Linked DNA regions of Rhinolophus ferrumequinum. The main gene of each other region encodes a partner of the protein of the gene in region 2 in a complex. Links are inferred from orthologs where the notes say so. Each region holds a gene or a part of one and is shown on either strand. Other genes may lie near its edges.

Evidence for each region.
Region 1: the proteins of ZMYND8 (region 2) and DBN1 are in contact, whole or in part, in a crystal structure (PDB 5Y1Z), measured with the Homo sapiens proteins. The link is inferred for Rhinolophus ferrumequinum from reciprocal best matches to the Homo sapiens genes ZMYND8 and DBN1. Residues at the interface, in NP_001350670.1 of Homo sapiens: Gln167, Pro168, Gly169, Thr170, Gln236, Ile237, Val240, Lys243, Ile244, His247, Trp269, Leu285, Gly287, Phe288, Phe307, Gly309, Gln310, His311, Asp312, Ala314, Thr335, Lys336, Ser337, Ile338; in NP_004386.3 of Homo sapiens: Met1, Ala2, Phe6, Ser7, Arg10, Leu11, Leu14, Tyr17, Glu18, Asp92, Ala93, Cys96, Ala97, Ala99, Ser100, Lys104, Glu107, Phe108, Gln110.

Annotation. Positions count from the first base shown.
Region 1 is NC_046307.1:5,151,055-5,159,505, forward strand, and holds the start of DBN1 (drebrin), read left to right. Parts: upstream 1-4,436; 5' UTR 4,437-4,600; coding exon 4,601-4,686; intron 4,687-5,266; exon of another isoform or gene 5,267-5,323; coding exon of another isoform or gene 5,324-5,331; intron 5,332-8,451. UniProt on the Homo sapiens protein: Actin cytoskeleton-organizing protein that plays a role in the formation of cell projections. Required for actin polymerization at immunological synapses (IS) and for the recruitment of the chemokine receptor CXCR4 to IS.
Region 2 is NC_046306.1:11,178,093-11,187,127, reverse strand, and holds the start of ZMYND8 (protein kinase C-binding protein 1), read right to left. Parts: upstream 3,602-9,035; 5' UTR 3,553-3,601; coding exon of another isoform or gene 3,513-3,552; coding exon 3,494-3,512; intron 3,321-3,493; coding exon 3,185-3,320; intron 2,853-3,184; coding exon 2,784-2,852; intron 1-2,783. UniProt on the Homo sapiens protein: Chromatin reader that recognizes dual histone modifications such as histone H3.1 dimethylated at 'Lys-36' and histone H4 acetylated at 'Lys-16' (H3.1K36me2-H4K16ac) and histone H3 methylated at 'Lys-4' and histone H4 acetylated at 'Lys-14' (H3K4me1-H3K14ac).

The DNA.
Region 1 (8,451 bases), on a different chromosome or scaffold from region 2:
GGCTTTTTCCAGCTCAGAGCAGCTAGAGCTCATTCAAAGTCAGCAGGGAGAGAGGCGGTAGAGGGAGAGGAACTGAGTACAGAGAACAGGCAGGAACTGATGATTCTGTTGCTGCCTCCTCAGTGCCAGGCCCTGCGTGGCCTTGGAACACATACAAGGTACACACCACCCTGTGGACCCTTCCATGCAGCCCTGCTATGGGAAGGCAGCTGAGGCCAGCCCCATACAAGCAGGGAGCAGCCGGGAGGACTGAGTGGGCCTGAGTCCAAAGCCAACCAAGAGTGGAAGTAGGGCTCCTCCCCAGCTGGGGCATAACGGGGAGGTAGGGTTCCAGGGGCCCTGGTAGGACAAGAAGAAGCTCGCTGGGAGCCTGGGGAGGACTCAGGAAGTCAGGCCACCCCGGGGAGATCATGCAGTGGGGTAGCTACAGAGTGGTCAGGGAGCGCCCCGGGATGGGCCTGGGTCTCCTGCTCAGCCTGGGGGACTAGGTCAGCTCAGCTTTCACCCATTTCCCTTGCCACTGATAAAAATGACCGCTACTAGGTAGATGAAGAAGGACTCTTTCAGTGCAAGTGTAACTAGTTTAGCAGAAACAGGGAGAATTTATCTCATTTAACTGAGGTTAACGGCTTCAGATCTGGTGGGACCAGGTACTCTGGGTGTTACCAGCAGTCTGTCTGCTGTCTCCATCTCTGGGCACTGCTTTCCTAAGTGCTGGCTGTATTCTCAGGCGGCTCTCCCCATTATTGGGGAGACACCCCTCAACCAGCTCCAGACCCACATCCTGCCAGCTCAGCAGCCCCAGTAGAGGCTTTCTCAATGATTCCAGCAAAAGTCCCAGGGCTGCTGCCCATTGGGCTGACTTGGGTCATGTGTCCATCCCTGAAGCAGTCACTGGGTCTGACCGGTGGGCCTGGAACACAGGCTCCCCTCTGGAGCCTGTAGTGGAAAAATCAGCCGGAAGACAAGGGTAGGGCTTATGGAGGAGAGACCCTCGAGCTAGATCCAACAAGATCCGGGCCAGAACAGACTGCTTCCCATAAATCCCCTCAGAGACTGTCCCATGGTCCCCTCCCATGTGTCCCACCTCCTGCTCCTTCCTGGAACAGGTCGCTGCACACCCCGCCCCCCAAGCATGGGAAGCATTTTCCCATTATCTGGGCAGGTCACACCCCGGTGCCCCATCCATCCAGTCCTGTCCTATATAACCCTTTGTGCCTGCCACGTGGCCTGGAGGACATCCCTGTCACCTCAGTGCCATCGCCCAAGATGTGCCTCTTATGTAAGCTCTCTTAATAAACTCTTGATATAATGCTGGAGTTGTCAGCCTTTTTCTTCAGTCTCTCAGGCCTGGGAAGTTTTACATAACAGGGATGCCTGACCATGGACAGCCACTGCACTGGGCACTTTTCCTCCATGCCCAGGACTCCTGCACCCGGACTTTTCCTTAGACCCTACAGCTGTAACCTGAGGAACTACCTCTGACTAAATTGCAGGCCAGGCTAGCCCCTACATGTGGAAATGGGGGTGCTAGAAGGGGAAGTGGGAGAATAGGTGGTAGACTGACGTGATGTGGGACAGTCCTGGGTTCCCATCCAGACTTGCTACTCACCAACTGTGTGCCTCGGGGCCTCACTGCTCCTCTCTGAGCCTCAGCTTTCCTATCTGTAAAATAGTGATAACAGCCCACATCTCAATGGCATCTGCTATGTGCAGTTGCCATTTTAAGCACTTTCTAGATACTGTTTTAACATCCTCAAACAGACCCTATGAGGTAGGTACCATCATCATCATCCCCATTTTGTAGCTGGAAACGAGTAAGACAAAGAAGTTCAAGGAGTGAGTCTAAGGTCACACGGTTAGCAAGGTCCGTGGATTAGCAAGATCTGGGCAGCAATTGGCTTGTGAGGAGCAGAGCTTCTGTGGGAAAGTGGCCGGCCCAGTGCCAGGGCCCACACCTGCAAGGATGAGGGGGCATTTTTGAAGGTGTGCTTGGTATGAACTTGCAGAGTCAGGGTGAGGGCAGAGAAGGCTCCACCAGCCTGTGCTAAAAAATAGTCCTGAGGCCAATGTGTCATCCTCGAAGCCTTCCCTGAGATGTGTGGGGAGCACAGAATAGGAAGGTGGGTGTGGGGGGGAGGAGGGCCAGGCTGTGAAAAGGAAGGGAGGGGTTCTTATTTTCCAAGCTTCCATCCAGTCACTCACAACATGTTATCAAAGAGGAAACTCAGAGAAGGAAAGCATTTTAGCCCAGGTCACACAGCAAGTGACCAGCTTCAGAACTGAATTCTCCCTCTTTGTTGACTTTTGCACTCTGGGGACCCAGAAACCACTGGACCAGCCTCCCAGGGTGTTGTGGAGGCTCACTCTCTGGGGGTGGGGAGACCACTGTGTTAGTGGCTTAAAAGGTGTTCAGTGCTGAGAGTAATAGACACCAAGTCCTGGTGGGAGGACCGCCAAGTAAGCACCCAGCACCCACCCACCAAAGTGGGGTGTGTGGCTTTCAGGGCTAAAAGGAGGCAGGGTCACAGAGGAGGTAGTGATCAATGGTCACCCCACTCCCACAGGTCGAAGAAACAGGACTAAGACAGGACCATCGAATTTGGCAATTTAGGGGTCACTAGTGACCTTGGCCAGAGCAATTCCAAGAACAACGGAGACAGGGGGAGACAGATTACAGATATACAAATTACAGGATGAAGATGTGGAGGGAGAAGGGTGAGAAGACCAGAAGGGCTGGGCTCCAGGGCAGCCAAGCAGGCGACCCTCTTGGTTCCACTTACAAGGCCTCTCTGTACCATCTTTGTAATTTTTCTATGAATCTAAAACTATTCTAAAATGAGCTTATATAAAAATATAGATGGTAAAGAGGGCGTGGCTGGAAAGAGGCAGGAATTTGAGGGAGAGCATGCATGTGGGCTTCTGTGTTGTGGATGTGAAATCGAGCAAGCAGGAGGCTGGGAAGGGGGCCAGGGAGGGGAAGGTGGGAGGAATTCTGAGCTGGGACAAGTCAAAGGAAGCAGGAAGGGGCTGAGACCCAAGATCTCCCCTTCAGCCCTGTCATGGGATTTCCTCCCACCCCAGAATCCTAGTGACCTTGCCTGGGCCTTGCTCCAAGTGGGGGCTGTGGAGAAACTGCTAGGGCCAGGGGTCCATGGGCATAGTGGGCACAGGCAGGGGTCTGTGAACGCTTTTGAGTTTTAAGAGGGTTTTCTTACTCCAAAGCGCTGGGAACCACTGCTGGAGATCAACGCACACGCTACTCTCCTCCTCCTGTGGCCAACTCAGAACTCAGAGGCCCAGCTGAACCGTCTCCCAGATTAGACTAGGTAGTTAGCTCAGGTTCCATCACCTCCCTGGGAAGATGGGGGTGGCTTTGTAGGTGGTGCGAAAGGCTTCTGAGAGCTGGGGAGAGTTTCAGGGTCCCACCTCAGCAAGGAGCAGACGTGTTTCTGGAGGTGCTGGCAGTGGTGCCCACTCTCCTGCAGGGGACTCCTCTGAGGCCCTAGTGCTTTCTGTGCTCAGAGCTTTGGGGGAAAAAAGTGCCAGGAGGCTGGTCCTGGAGGAACCCTTCCCTGAGTCTACAGTTAGATGCTACTACTTGAAGGAAGTCCACTTGGGATCCTCTACGATGCCTGAGGCTTGCCAGTCAAGGCAAAGGAGTTCCTGGGCTGACCCCATCTGAGAGGGGCCAGGAGGCTGCTGGTAAAGAAGGGGGGCTCAGCCTAGGGGTGGTGGAAGAGGCTGGCGATACTGTGGTAATGAGCTTGGTTGGGGCTGGGGATGGTCAAGGAGGCAGGGATGTAGAGGTGCGGTTGGTTACTCGGATCAGAATGAGGACAGGATAGGCTGGACTGAGGAGGGTGCATCTAAGGATGGGGTGTGGGGAATGGGGGTGCATGCTAAGCATAGAGTTGGGAATGGGGCTGGAACTGGGGCTGGGAAAGAGATGGCAGTGGACAGTGGTAGGATGGACTGAATGGGCCTTTCCGAGGTGAGGCTGGGCGGCAGATGGGCCAGGGGTGGCTGATCTGTGAATTGGGTTGGGACTGGGGGTTTGGATGGATCAGGGATGGGGGTGAGACCAGGATGGAGATAATTAAGCACCAAATGGGACTGGGCCGGATTGGAATGAAGTGGATTTGGGATTGGGACTGGGAGCTGATTAGGAGAAGAATCAGCTGGGGACGGGGATGGTTGGAGCTGGGGAAGAGGGTGAGTACCTTAGGCTGGGAACACGGTGAGGGTTTGGGACGCGGGTGCGATGGGCCTCGGGAGAGGAGGGGCAGGTTGGCCCGGGTGCGGACGCAGAGGCGGTGGGTGAGGGGCGGGGGGCGCCTGGGGCAGGCCGGGAAGGGGGGGCTGGCCTCCCCCTGGGCTGGGCCCGGGCGGCGCTAGGACCGAGCGCGGAGGGACGAGCCGGGCGGAGCCAGCGCCCCCCGCCCCCCGCCGGCCGGCTCCCCTCCCCCGGCCGCTGGCTCGCTCGGCTCTCAACGCTGCAGAGGCTCCGAGGCGGCGGCGGCGGTGACTCCCTCGTTCCCTCCCTCTTCTGTCCGTCCGTCCGTGCGTCTGTCCGTTCGGCCTGGGTCCGGCCCGCAGTATGGCCGGCGTCAGCTTCAGCGGCCACCGCCTGGAGCTGCTGGCGGCGTACGAGGAGGTGATCCGGGAGGAGAGCGCGGCGGACTGGTGAGCCCCCGCCCCCGCCCCCCGGCCCCTTTGTCCCCGCGCCGCCGCCGCCGCCGCCGCGCCTTTGTTTCCACCCGGCCCGCCGCACGGCTGCAGGGAAGGGAGGGGGCGACCCCGAAATGGTGGAGCGGCCTGGGAGGGCCGGGAGGGGCTGCCTTTGTGCGCGCCGGGGAGGGGCCGGGCGGGGTGCTGCGCCCCGAGGCCGGCCCAGGCGCGCGGTATGAGCGGTGGCCAGACGCGGGTCGGAGAGACGCAGGATCTGGACGTGTGGCCCGGGGCCACATGGTCCTGCAGGAGCCCATCCCCCGTCCTCTCCCCCGCCGGGGCTCAGGGGACAGGTGTGCACCGGGCGGCCAAGGGCACCTTCGCTACCTTCTAGCGGGCGCGGACCGGGCGGTGACGGGGCGGGGACCCAGCTAGCGGAGCCAGCTCAGCCTGCCTGGCCCAGCCCCGCCGGCCGGCCACAGCACAAAGGAACGCTAGGGCGGGGGAGGAGCAGAGCGGGCTGGGGGCCGAGGCGCCCCGCCCACCGGGGGGGCCTCTCGGAGTTGGGGTGTGATGGAAAGACGTTCATTGCACATGGCAACCGTGCAGTGACTCCTGTTCCTCTCAGTGGTCGTGGAGGAGACGGAGATAAATGGGATTGTAGGTACTGGGCAGCTGGGCTGGGAGATGCCAAGGGGGCCAGCTGGGGACCCTGGGAGGAAGCCCTCAGGCGCACACGCGTGGAGGGAGCCCCTAGAGAGGGATGAGGGCTGAGTAGATCCACTGAGCCCCCAGCCTCATCGCACAGTGGCAAGGGGCTCTCGGCTTCCTGGTGGGGGAGGAGCTGGGCTGCCCTCTTCCCCCTCCCCAGCTGTTGTCTCCCCAAGCTCTGGGAGGGGTGGACCACCTGCTCTGAGGCTGGTGTCCCCAGGGTGGTAGGAAAGCCAAGGGGTTCCACACTGCCCCATTCAGGAATCATCCCCCCAAAAGACTCTTCTCTTGGGGCAGGTACCCATTCTGTTCCCAGGCCTCTTCTCCCCTTGGCAGGCAGGAAACTGAGGTACAGTGTGAGGGCAGGCCTGAGGGACCTCACTTGAGCTGGCCTTACCCTCACCCTGGGAAGGCATTTGGGAAGGGACACTGACCTGGGGGCTGGAGGAGGGGACAAGTGGTGAGGTGTCCATGCCACGGTACTGCAGCACTGGCGGGCAGCCAGTCCTGGAGGGATGGACGCGGGAGACAAGCTCATGTCCTGCAGGTCAGTCACAGGAGAGGCCAGCACAGGCGAAGTGGGCAGGCGGCCCACCCATTGTCCCAGCCCTGCCCCTGGGGGCTGAGATCATGGGAGAAGTCCAGGGCAAGTGGCTGCCTTGGCCTAGTGGAGGAGCTGGCCTCGAGACCCGATGGGCCCTGCCTGAAGAGGGGCAGGGTCCATCATAGAATGCCCCCCTCACCCTCAGTCTGGGGATACTGTCTATCACCACCCCATCGGGCCTAACCCCCCAAAAGCAGAGCTCTGGAGGCCCAGTGCGGGTCCACACAACCACTGCTGGCCCACGTCCTCCTCAGCAGAGGGCTGGGCTCCCACCACGCAGCAGCATCCATGTGGCCAGAGTGAGTTATTCATCACTGGCGTGCGTCACCCCATCTGGGTGTGTGTGAGGCACACACAGATTCACACAGCCTCGCACATGCACACACGTATTCACTCTCAGTGGCCTAGGTAGCATTTTGTAAAAAGGGTGTGAGGATCATGTCCTGCTGCCAGCTCCGAGCCAGGGGTGCAGTGGGGTCTCAGGACTCAGGCACAGACCCGACACTAAGTCTAGAGGAGGATGTCTTGGGTAAAATTGCTGCCTGAGCAAAGGAGGCTTATCATTGCCCTCCCTTATCTTGCCTCTGAGTGGGGCTGGGGAGCAGGAGGGGAGTGGTCACTCCTGTGGCAGGGCATCTGAAATGGACCACTGTCCAGGTGGGAGCAGGGGACCCCAGGAAGTTAGGTTGTGTAGTGGGAAGAGCCAGTGTTGCCCTGGATGTGACAGACTCACTATGTGACCACACACAAGTGCCTGCTCTTCTCGTGTTCTTGAAAACAAGGAGACTCAACCATATCGGGACCTCCAGGGCCCATCTGGCTCTGACATCCTGAGAGTGTGATTGTCCTGAGGGGTCCACCTGCCCTCAGCCTCCCACGTTAGCTGACTCCAGCATCTCCTTGGAGCTCCAGCTCCCAACTCACCTCAGTCCAGTTTCTCTGGCCTAGATGGTTTTTCAGTGTTAGTGCCAGTATCTCAGGTACCTACTGGTGCCACTGTGGGCTGGACCCTGGACCCAGAGAGTGAAGTATGTTGATTGACTGAGTCAGACATCCTGCCTCCGCGAAGCTTAGGTCTGAGGCAGTGTCTGTCTCCAGGGCTTAGAGCTGGTGAGACATGTAGATTCCTGGTTCCCCCCACTCTGACTTCCTGCGGTTTCACCAGCTCCCACTGTCCAGGCCCAGGCCAAAGCCGGCTCTGCGGTATTTGAGAAGCACTTGTTCAGTGAGATCTGCGGCAGGCTTAGATGCCTTTTTCCATCCCTGCTGGGGTGTGATAATGCCTGAGGAGGTGCACCTCAGGACAGGGCACAGCTTCCTAGGGAGCTGGCATTGGGGCCCCGAGGGATTTCTGCCAGGGGTGGGCATGTGGTAGAGAAACTGGTCTGGTCTTTTTGTGACAGGAATCACATATGCAAAGGCTCGAGGGTGGGAAATACCCAGAACTGTGTTTGGCATCCGCGAGCCGTCTAGTGTGACCCCAGTGTGTGGTGTGGACACAGAAGGTCTAGCTGGAAAGGCAGGCAGGTGGGGCTCAGGGTTGAAGGCCTGCTGAAGGCTTTGAACTTAGCTATGGTTTCTGTCAGGTCAGTGGCTGGAGCTGAAAGGTGGCTGGAAGTGGGCAGGCAAGAGTTGAGGATGGAAGGGGCAGTACATGTGTAGCAAGGGCACTCAGAACTTCTGGGAGGCTAATAGTCACCCCTGGGAGGTGTGTGTGTCTGGGAACCAGGGTCTCAGAGTTCTGCCTCAGTTTCTCATTTTTGGAATGGGAAGGGGCAGACTTTGCTTCTCTGAGGGCCCTTTGTTCCCAGTGACGGGTTAGGGCAGCCGGACAGGTGGTGGGACAGCTGTGCTGGGAAGCAGCTGCCAGCACTGGGGCCCAGGCGACAGTTGGAGCAGGAGCTCTGGGCCTCACAGCCCACCTGTGTCCCTTTCCGGAGGGAGGGGTCCTGGAAAGTGTGTGTGTGTGTGTCCTCCCTCTTCCCTCCCTCCTTCCCTCTCTCCCTCCCTCCTTCATTTCCTCATCATACCTTCACTTTCCTCCTTTCTCTTCTCTTCCTTTCTCCTCTCTCTGACTCCCTCCGTCCCTTTCTCTTCTCCATCTCCTTTGTGCTCCCACCTGCCCTCCTCTAAGCCCCCAGCCTCCTGCCTTGGCAGTAGGAAAAGGGAAGCTTGGGGAAGGGGCTGAGCCCTCTGGAGCCTCCTCAACAGGGCCCTTCTTTCTTGCTCCAGGTCTGTCCTCCTAGGGGGTCCTTGGGAGCAGACATCTCTGCCTTCCCATCTGTGAAATGGATGCTGTGCCACTGCTGCCTGGCGAGAAAAAAATCTAGGGAGGAGGAAGGCTCCTAGGTCAGTTTTCTGGTGATGCTAAGGCAGAAGGAAAGGCCAGCAGTCCCAGGAGGCCAGGGCCTCAGCTAGGACAGAGGTGGCTTAGGAGCTAGAAGGCCAGAAGTGTGTGGTCACCC
Region 2 (9,035 bases):
CAGTGCCCAAGGCTGTGCCAGGGCCAGGACGGGCGGCTGGCTCCTCGCCGGCTGATAGGTACGGTAATCTTGATGAGGAGGGACAGCCTGGCAGCACAGCTAGCTGCAAGGCTGAAATGGCTCCCGCCAGCTTGTTTATCTGGAAGGAGAGTGGGGTGGGGCGGGGGGAGGGCGGCCATACCCTAGGCAACCTGAAGCCAAGGGTGAATCCTGGTTTTTGCATTAAAGTGCAACACAAGGGCTTCTAAACATATTCCCTTACTAAGTCTCTGCCGTGGGGTCGGGAAAGCACTTCTGCATGTGTCTTTCTTTTCAGGGTCAACCAGAGGCAAAGCCAGATCTAGGGCTTATCAGCTGACAAATGTTTGTTGCCTCTGCCACAGGAGAGAGAAGGGAAAAGAAGGCAAAGGAAACAAAGAGATCACACATTTGAAGTGGTTGGACTCAAAAAACCTACCTCTGCCTTCAGGGTTTTCTGGGTTACTGTCACCCTGCTTTTTAAAGAGTGACTCATTTTCCCCCTCTCCTATTTAAGACCTGAAGCCGTTTCCCCACTGTTCTCCTGGGGGGAAAAAGTGGGGAATGTTTTGTTGAAAAGAAAAGGGGTTACAGGAAAGAAAGAAAAGAAAAAGAAGCTATTGTTTTCATCCCTAATTTGTAATCTAAGATGCCCCATTGTTTCCTTCTTTCTGACTCAAATCTGTGGGTCGTTAATTATAAAAAGTAACTGGAAGGGGCTCCAACAGGCTACCCATGTGCACGCACAGCAAGTAGAAAAACTCTGTAGAAAGTTTACGGAGTGATTACGTATAATTAATTCCTAGTTATAGTCGGGAACACTGACCATTTTCTGGAGCTAATAAAAGCAGTCACTAACCCTTCCCCCTCGTGAATGCCATTTAATTTCCCAAAGCAGAAAGTGAATCCATCCTGGAGGGTCTTGAAGGAAAAAAAAAGGGGGGGGGGCAGATCAAAAGCTCCAGTGTGTCTGTGTTTGTTCCTTGCAGCTGTGCATCCTCTTTGGGGACTGAGGAGATAGAAGGAAAAAGGGAAACAACCCAGTGTCCCGTTCCTCCCTCTGCAATTTGCAAACGTGGCAGAGAGAGAACCTTCTACCTTGATAGAAAAAAAAAAAGAGAGTGGGGGAGGGGCGATGCCCTAGGAATGGAATGCAGGAAACTCTTCAGCTTGGAGGATCTGCTTTTCCTAAAAGGAACAAAGATGGCAGAAATTTCCAGAAGGCCCGGTCTGAGTCCGGCCACTGCAATTGTCAATCTGTAACCTTTCTCCTCCAAGTCTATTGGTTCAAAATCTGGAAGAGAGGAAGCCCATTGGGCTTGCTCTGTGAGCCAGCACTGCTGTCCCTACCTAGTCCTGCTGCAATGCAGACATTTATTTTTCCCCCTTAGTGAAAACTGGAAAATAATGCGACTTTGAAAGCAATTAACTTTTTACAGACTCATGCTTAGTGGTGGCCACAGTCCCCAAGGAAAAGGGCTAGGTTGGTCCAGGGCTAGGAACCTGCTGGAGCTGCACATCTGAAAACAGATCTTGGCTTTGCAAACCTGTGGGAGCCATTTTAATGCAAGCTTTTAGAGGACAAATGCCTTGCCCTTCAGTTTCCTTCCAGCCCAACAAACACACCATTATGCAAACATTGAAGGCACCAAACCAGGAGTCTTGTGATTAGATATTGCTTCTGAGGAGGCCACAAGAACCTCAATATGTAATTTCCATTTACAGCCAGGAGATAGGAACAAAGAAAATAGCTAAGTGTCTGAACTTACTTGTGTGGGGCACAAGTGTTTTAAGTATATAAAACATCATTAACTGCCTGCCCTTTTACTCTAAGACACTGGCCCTACACAGACTTTTCTCGAATTTGGTACCTTTATCATTATTAAATGAGCCTTTTTCCCATTGGTGCTAAAAGGTGGGTAGATAGTCACTAAAAGAAGAAAAAAAAGATTATTGACTCCATAAAGTTGGCATAACACAGCAACTGCATCTATTTCCAGCATTTACAGTCATGCTGGATTGTTCTCCAGACTGAAATTGATGCAGTGAACTTCTAGGGAAATTCTGAAGCTAACACTAAACAAGAGTCCACTTTTTTTCATTCTTAAGTCCTAACTGCAGCATTAAGAGATCAGGGGAAATGTAAAAAGTGAGAAATAAATCATTAGTAAAGGCAAGCGTGCATACAGACGTGTGTGGGTCTGCCTTGGAAAAAGGCCGAAATCTGTTGTTCAGTGAGTCCTAAATCAAACCAAGTTTGCTGCTGGTGGGTGGGATTTTGCAATCCATGTCAGTATCCCAAAACCTAAGTACTGACACCACCACCCCCACACACCACCACCACCACCACCACCACCACCACCACCACCACAACCACCAGCTCCTGCCCCACCACGGCTTAAGGTTCTGTGATTCTAAGACCAAGCACTTTCTTACATTTCACAAGCAGATCACCTACCCAGAGTTCTAATATCCAAACAAACCCAATTAAAGGTCTCCAGTCAAGTCACAACGAACTGCACATTTCTCCCCTGTCTGAGGGTTAACAGGAAGTGTAATCTTCAATCCTAGCTGCAGGTTCTCAGGAAAAACAGTTGATTCACACAGTCACCTAAAATCAAGACACTATTAAAAAGCCCTTATTTGGTTCCTGCTAAGGAAAAGCCCTCCACGGCTGTAGCCAAGACCCCCTGTTACAAACAGGCCCCAAATGTTCACCAAACTCTTTATACATGGTCACAGAGGAAATGGATCGCTTTACTTACCCAACATGTTCAAGCAACCGTCTCATTTTTCCACAGTTAAGAAGAGAGAACAGGCTGGCAGATTTGGGACTTGATCAAAAAGGAAATTTTTTTAAACAGTTACATGGGATTATTAAAAACACACACAACAACAACACAACAACTGAATAGGGAATGCTGTCATGAGCCACACACATGATTTTATTTCCTCTGCACTCTATCACACAGGAGGGCAGAAGATGATACAATGTAAAAAAAAAAGGGGGGGGAAAGGAAAAAGAAAACAAGGATAAAAGATACATTAGTTCATTGAAAATCATGCAAGAATAGAAAGCTAAGGGATTCAAAGAGTCCTCACAGATTTATTGCAGGATGTTGTCCAACATCCCACCCCCCACGCCCCCCTCAATCCCCATCCCTACTCCAAAAACTTCCTCCAAAGCCTAGAAAACACTTTCAGAAACATTTGCTGGCTGTAGGCTGGCTTGCAGAAGAACATTCTGTAGCAACAGAAGTCAGGAAAAAAGGCTGAACAATGTAGTTTCAAGTGAAGAAACCCTGTTGGGAGAAAAAAGACCATGTAGAGACACCACCACCCACCTAGGCCCCAAGAGCTAGGAGCTCTCCTTAGCACTGCTCTGCTGAGGGCTTGGTTCTGTTTAAAACACACGTCCTCTCTGGTCAGAACTTAGTCCAGCCTTCCCAGAACCTCTTTGGAGAGGAAAACTTGCCTGCTTTGCTGTCTGCCATGAGCTCTCCTTAGAGAGGAGCCTGCTTGCTCACCTTCCATTTTCTTCCCCCAGCAGGCATGTGACACAAGAGAAGACAATAGTGCAGGGGGGGAAACTGCTCAGAGAGAGAGAGAGAGAGAAAGAGAGAGGAGGAAAAAAAAAAAAAAAAACCTTCTTTTTTGGCATACCAGGATCTAGCTTCAAACTATTCCAGAAACACCATGTCCTGGTGGAAGAAAAGGTGTGCCAGGCCCTTGCCAGTTTGCAAAATCAGGCTATGGCTAATGGCTACTTAGCCATGTGACCCAAGAAAGCAAAAAAATTCTCTCTAAACAGTTCCAAGTTAACCTAAGTGCTGTGGGGGTGAGTGTGGCACAGCCAGCCACAGAGAAATCACACTGCTCGCCCACAATTCGGATGTCTCAGAGGGAGGGGGAGAAAAGATGGTTAAAAAGTCGAGCTTACCTCTGTGGATGCATTGTTAACACTGTGTAATGTCAATACTTATAAAACATGGAGGACAGGCTCCTAGTTCTCACAGAAAAAGGGTTTGGCACTTCGGCTTGATGATCTGGCCGCCTAATAAGAGCTCATCCCCGATTGGCTGGCCCGGCAAATCGGAGTGTAAGGCGGCCCGGGATTGGCTGAAACACTTCCTGAGCGATTATCTTTGTGAGGCTCTGGTGAGCAAGAGCCATCCTGTGCATAGAAAAAGACAGGCTAAGCTAGGCCTTTTGCAGCAAGAAAAACTTGGGAAAGGGGCCCCCACACGCACTTCTCCCACACCCTGGCTAGATTTCCCTGTACGGGCAAACCAGTGCAGCCAGCCTGACCTGCCCCAGCAAAGCCTGAGGCCTGGATGCCACTGGGAAGAGAGTTTTTGGGGTGAGCTGAAAGGGCTCACCCTCACCTGCCCCCACAGAAGCGGCTCTCGGCTAGGAGGAAGGCTGGCCCTTTTCTAGAACAATCCAGTCGATGGTCCCCCCCGGAGGGTGGGGGGAGAAACTGAGGAGGGGGAGCGTCAGGAAAAGAGCCAAGGGGGCAGGAGAAAGGAGCTTGGGGCAGGCCTTTCAGGAGTTGGGGGCAAACAGGACAGGCAAGCCCCCCAAAATCGCTAAAGAGCAGCTGTGGCTTCTCCGAGGACAGAGGATTCAGGCTGCTTAGGGGAGGAGGGGAACAGAGTGGTCAAGTTTGCATAGTCATTGTCAAAATGCCTCCTGGAAAAGCAGGCCAGAGAGCCATTTTCCCCGCAGAGAATACATCCTCTCACCCACCCCCTTCAGCCAGTACTCAAAGGAAAACCAAAATGGGTTCCTGCCTCCCTGCCAGGATGCCAGGGGGTGGGGGGGCCCTCTCAGTCCTTACCCTAAGAAAAGCCAAGTGCACTCCTAGCAGGCCACATGCCTAGATCTACAAACTTCCCTTCCCCTCCCGGCCCCCTCCCCCACTGCTGAGGCCTGCTAAACCTGTCAGTTAAACAAAAATCTGACTTCCGTATTAGTCTGCGATGCCTTCAGCTTCCTGCCCATTAACCCTCTCTCGGACTCTGGGCCTGGCTGGGAAAGACTAGGCCCTGAGATCGCAGAAAAGGCCTGTGGAAAAATACCAGCTGCAGCTCTCCCGGCAGATGCAGAAAGAGAGAGAGTGAGCCGCTGTCTCTCGCCTTTGCTTCCCAAGGAGGCGTGTACCTTCTGAATCCAGGGCACAGGCAGTGCCTCTCAGTCTGAGAAGCCATTTAAATCCAGAGGGAGAAAGAAAGATGTCAAACTCAACGAGGAAACAAGAACCCCCATTATTAGTCAGGCCTACACCCACTGCTTAGCCCTTCCTGTCACAATCATGCCTGTATGTATGTACTTGGGGAGCTGGGCCCTCGGTGGGCAGACAAATCTCATGAGCTTTAAAAGGATTCTTGCTTAAATTTATTTCCACAGAGTACTGCTTCTTTTCGTCCCCTAAGGCAGATGGAACAGCTATTTCACACACAGCTCTACACTTGGCAGCCCCCCACACCCCTATCTCTGGCACTGCTCCCCAGTAAAATATTAACTAGTTTTTCAGAACGGCTTATAATTTCACCCATTTCAATAGTATGAGGAGGTCTTTGCCTGTTTCCTCCCGAAAGCTGCCTTTGTAGTTGGTCTGTACCCTGAGAAAGAAAAAGCAAATCCAAAAGGCTCTCCGAATGTCCATAGTTGATTTTTCTTTTTCCTTTTTTTTTTTTTTAAAGACAAGCTGCTTAATTAAGATTTTTTTTAAAACAGCAAGCTGGAACAACAGAAGCTAAATAAACACCATTCTTTAGAGGTTGGAGAAAGCTTCCAGAGGTGAGGCAGCCATATGCCAGGAGGTAAAAAACTATGGCCCAATAAAGTCTTCCCTTCCTCCTAAAATTAGGACCCGTGGGCTTTCTCGTCCCACACCATTCATTCGTTCCCACAAAGAAAACATGGAGCTGATGGCCTGCTCTCCCCCCACCCCACATGGACAACAGATGCCCACCCCCTCTGCATGTACATAAATTCTTCCTGGCTGGGAATCTTCCATCAAACAGGAACAAGCCAGGAATCCACACACACTGTACTGCTGGGGCTGGGCCGGCGCTTTATGAAAAGGGAGGGGACCTTGTTGCTGCTGTATTTTAGGCTGAAGAGGCCAAGATGAAGAGACACCTCCACCTCCACGGCCACAGCACCAGCACTCAGGACAACAGGCCTCACCAGAAGGGAGGGACCGCCTCTTCCTGTGGGTGGAAGCCTGTAGAGGGAGACCAAGTAGGGGACAAGAGGCAAGGCCAGACCTAATCAGACAGGTCTCCCTCCACCACCATCCCATAAGGAATATTGTTTGTCTCCCCAGGTGCTGCTTTTGCGGGAACAGACATGACTGAGTCTGTGACGGAATTTGCGTGCAGCTAACTTCACGACCCAATGAGGAAATGAAATACGCCACGGGTCGCGTGGTGGATTTTAACCCGGGATTAAAACGGGTTGCATAAGCAGCTGCAGCATTCTCCCCCTCCCTCCCGCCCTCTCTCTGATCACTTGATCACTTGAAATGTTTTCTGGGGCAAAGAGCAGGAAGCTGCAAGCTTATTCTGGCAGCTCTGCTCTGTTGGAGGAATGCTGTTGGCATTCGGGTAGGTCTGAGGTTATCTGGAAAACAGAAATTCGGCTGGGGACAGAGACAAAGGTATGGTGGCAGATGGAATCCTGGGAGGAACATGGATCGAAAAGGAAGCCGAGAGCAGGCCCACTACGGGCCACTCCTGGGCTTGATGGAATGTGGCTGATAAGAGGGAATAAAGAAGCCCAACGTTGCTGACCTCAATCTAGAGCTCAAGTCAGTGGCCCTTCTCAAAACTTCCCCCTGCACAGAATAGTCCCACTACTGCATGCTCACCGTGGAACAGGCACTATGCTACATCAGCGCTTTGCACAAGCTGACTTCATCAGGAGATAGGGAGCATTGTTAGAGACCTGGAACTGAGCCCAGAGAGGGGAAGTGAGCTGTCCAAGGTCACACAGCTGGCAAGTGCCAGACACCAGACTTCCAACCCAGTTATGACTCCACATCTTTAAACCCTGTACCTTCACTTGCCTCTAAAGGAGGAAACAAAAGAGAAGCGTGATCTGTGTTTTCCTTTTAGGTGGTCAATTCCTTTGAGAAAGAGCTTTAAGTCCTGAATGATGGAGCTGGGAGAATTTTAAATTAGACTCATTCCAAGGCCCAGAGAAAGCTCCTCTCTCCCTGCAAACCTCCAGCAAGAGGTCGGGGGGAAACTTTCTCTAAAATCAGGTTTTTTTATATTCCTTGAAATCTGTGGTTCTTAACCAGGTTCAAAACCAGGTGGTTTTGCCCCCCAGGGCCTCTGTGGCAGTGTATGGAGAACTTTGGGTTGTCACAATTTGGGGAAAAGGTGCTACTGGCATCTAGTGGGTGGAGACCTGGGAGGTTGCTAAACATCCTACCCTACAGTGCACAGCACAGACACCACACACACAGAGACACACACGACCGCCGCAACAGAGAATTATTTGACCCAAACCGTCCCTTTGTCCCAAGGTAGGGAAACCTTGGCTCAGATGAACAGGAAGAAGAAGAAAAAATCCAACCACTGTGCCTCTCTGGATAGAAAAGCCAGCACAGGCCTAAACAAGCAGGTTCCCTGGTGATATTAATAAGCAATGAGCTAATAATAAAAATAGATTAAAACATGTCTCTCTTAATATTCCCAGGGGACGGAGAAAATTGGGGGACAGAATGAGGCTGAAAGAAGCCCGGCAGAAAGTCACGGTGATAAAGCTGGTCTCCAAGGAGAGGGAGGGCTGGCCCCAGCTCCCTTCCCCAGGCACCTTAACCAGCCGAGGCCTGGCCTCGACGAAATGGCTCTCCACTCCGGTTGGCCTGCAGCCAGGAGAGCAGCAGCGGGCGCGGCCTCGGCAAGCTGCGTCCCGAGATAGCCTGTTCGGCTGCCTATGAAAATAAGCACACTTGGAGTTATCTGCCTGAAGCGAGCAGCAGGCCTCTTGGTCCGTTATGTGAAACGGACAGGATTGAGGCAGGGACGTGTTTTAAATATCTTGTTTTGTTCCTTTTTGGCCAATTGGAACGGAGGCCAACTTCAGGCATGGTGACAGAAGGGCTCACCTTCAGAGCATGCAGTCATGTTCCGGCCACAGACAGGCATGAGGACTCCCTCCCTTGGAGATGTGTCCTAGGGAAGGTCTTTCTTTCTTTCTTTCTTTCTTTTTTTCCACTTCTTTCTAGGAGGGACTGGCAGGATTAGGCAAATGGAGGGCAGTGGGGGATGGTACGTGACCATCAGGCAGATGGGCCCAGTGTGGGTGGGGAGAGATGTAAGAGGTGCAGGAAGAAAATGAAAATCAAAAGGAAGATGATTCAAACCTCTGCTTCCTTGCTCTTTTTACTCCCCAGCAATTACCATTATGGAAAGAAGAACACATATTCATTTGCTCTGTTTGTTTCTCTCTCCCACTAGACCAGTGGCCATATCTGGAGACATTTCTGGTTGTCACATCTGGAGGAAGGTATTGCTACTGGCATCCAGAGAGTAGAGGCCAGGGATGCTGCTAAGCACCTGACAAAGCATAGGACAGCCCCCCCAGACCCCCCAGCAGAGAACTAGCCAGCCCCAAATGTTATCAGTGCCAAGGCTGAGAAACCCTGCATTAGACTGAGAGCTTCAGCAAGGCAAAAAGCTGGTCTGAATTCTTCACCTTTGTGCTCTCGGCATCTAACACTGTGCCTGACATGTATTAGAGCTCAATAAAACATCACCCCCCACCTGGATGGTCGCAGTAGCCTCCTGCCTGAGCCTTCTGCTTCTGCCCTTGTCAATGCTTGCGCATGCGTACACAGTCTCCGTGTCTCTCTCTCTCTCTCTCTCTCTCTCTCTCTCTCTCTCTCACACACACACACAGAGGCATCCAGTGATCCTTTTAAAACAAGTCAGATCTTATCCCTCTCCTCTGCTCACATCCATCAATAGCTCCCCCCTCACTCCAAGTAAAAGCCCAAG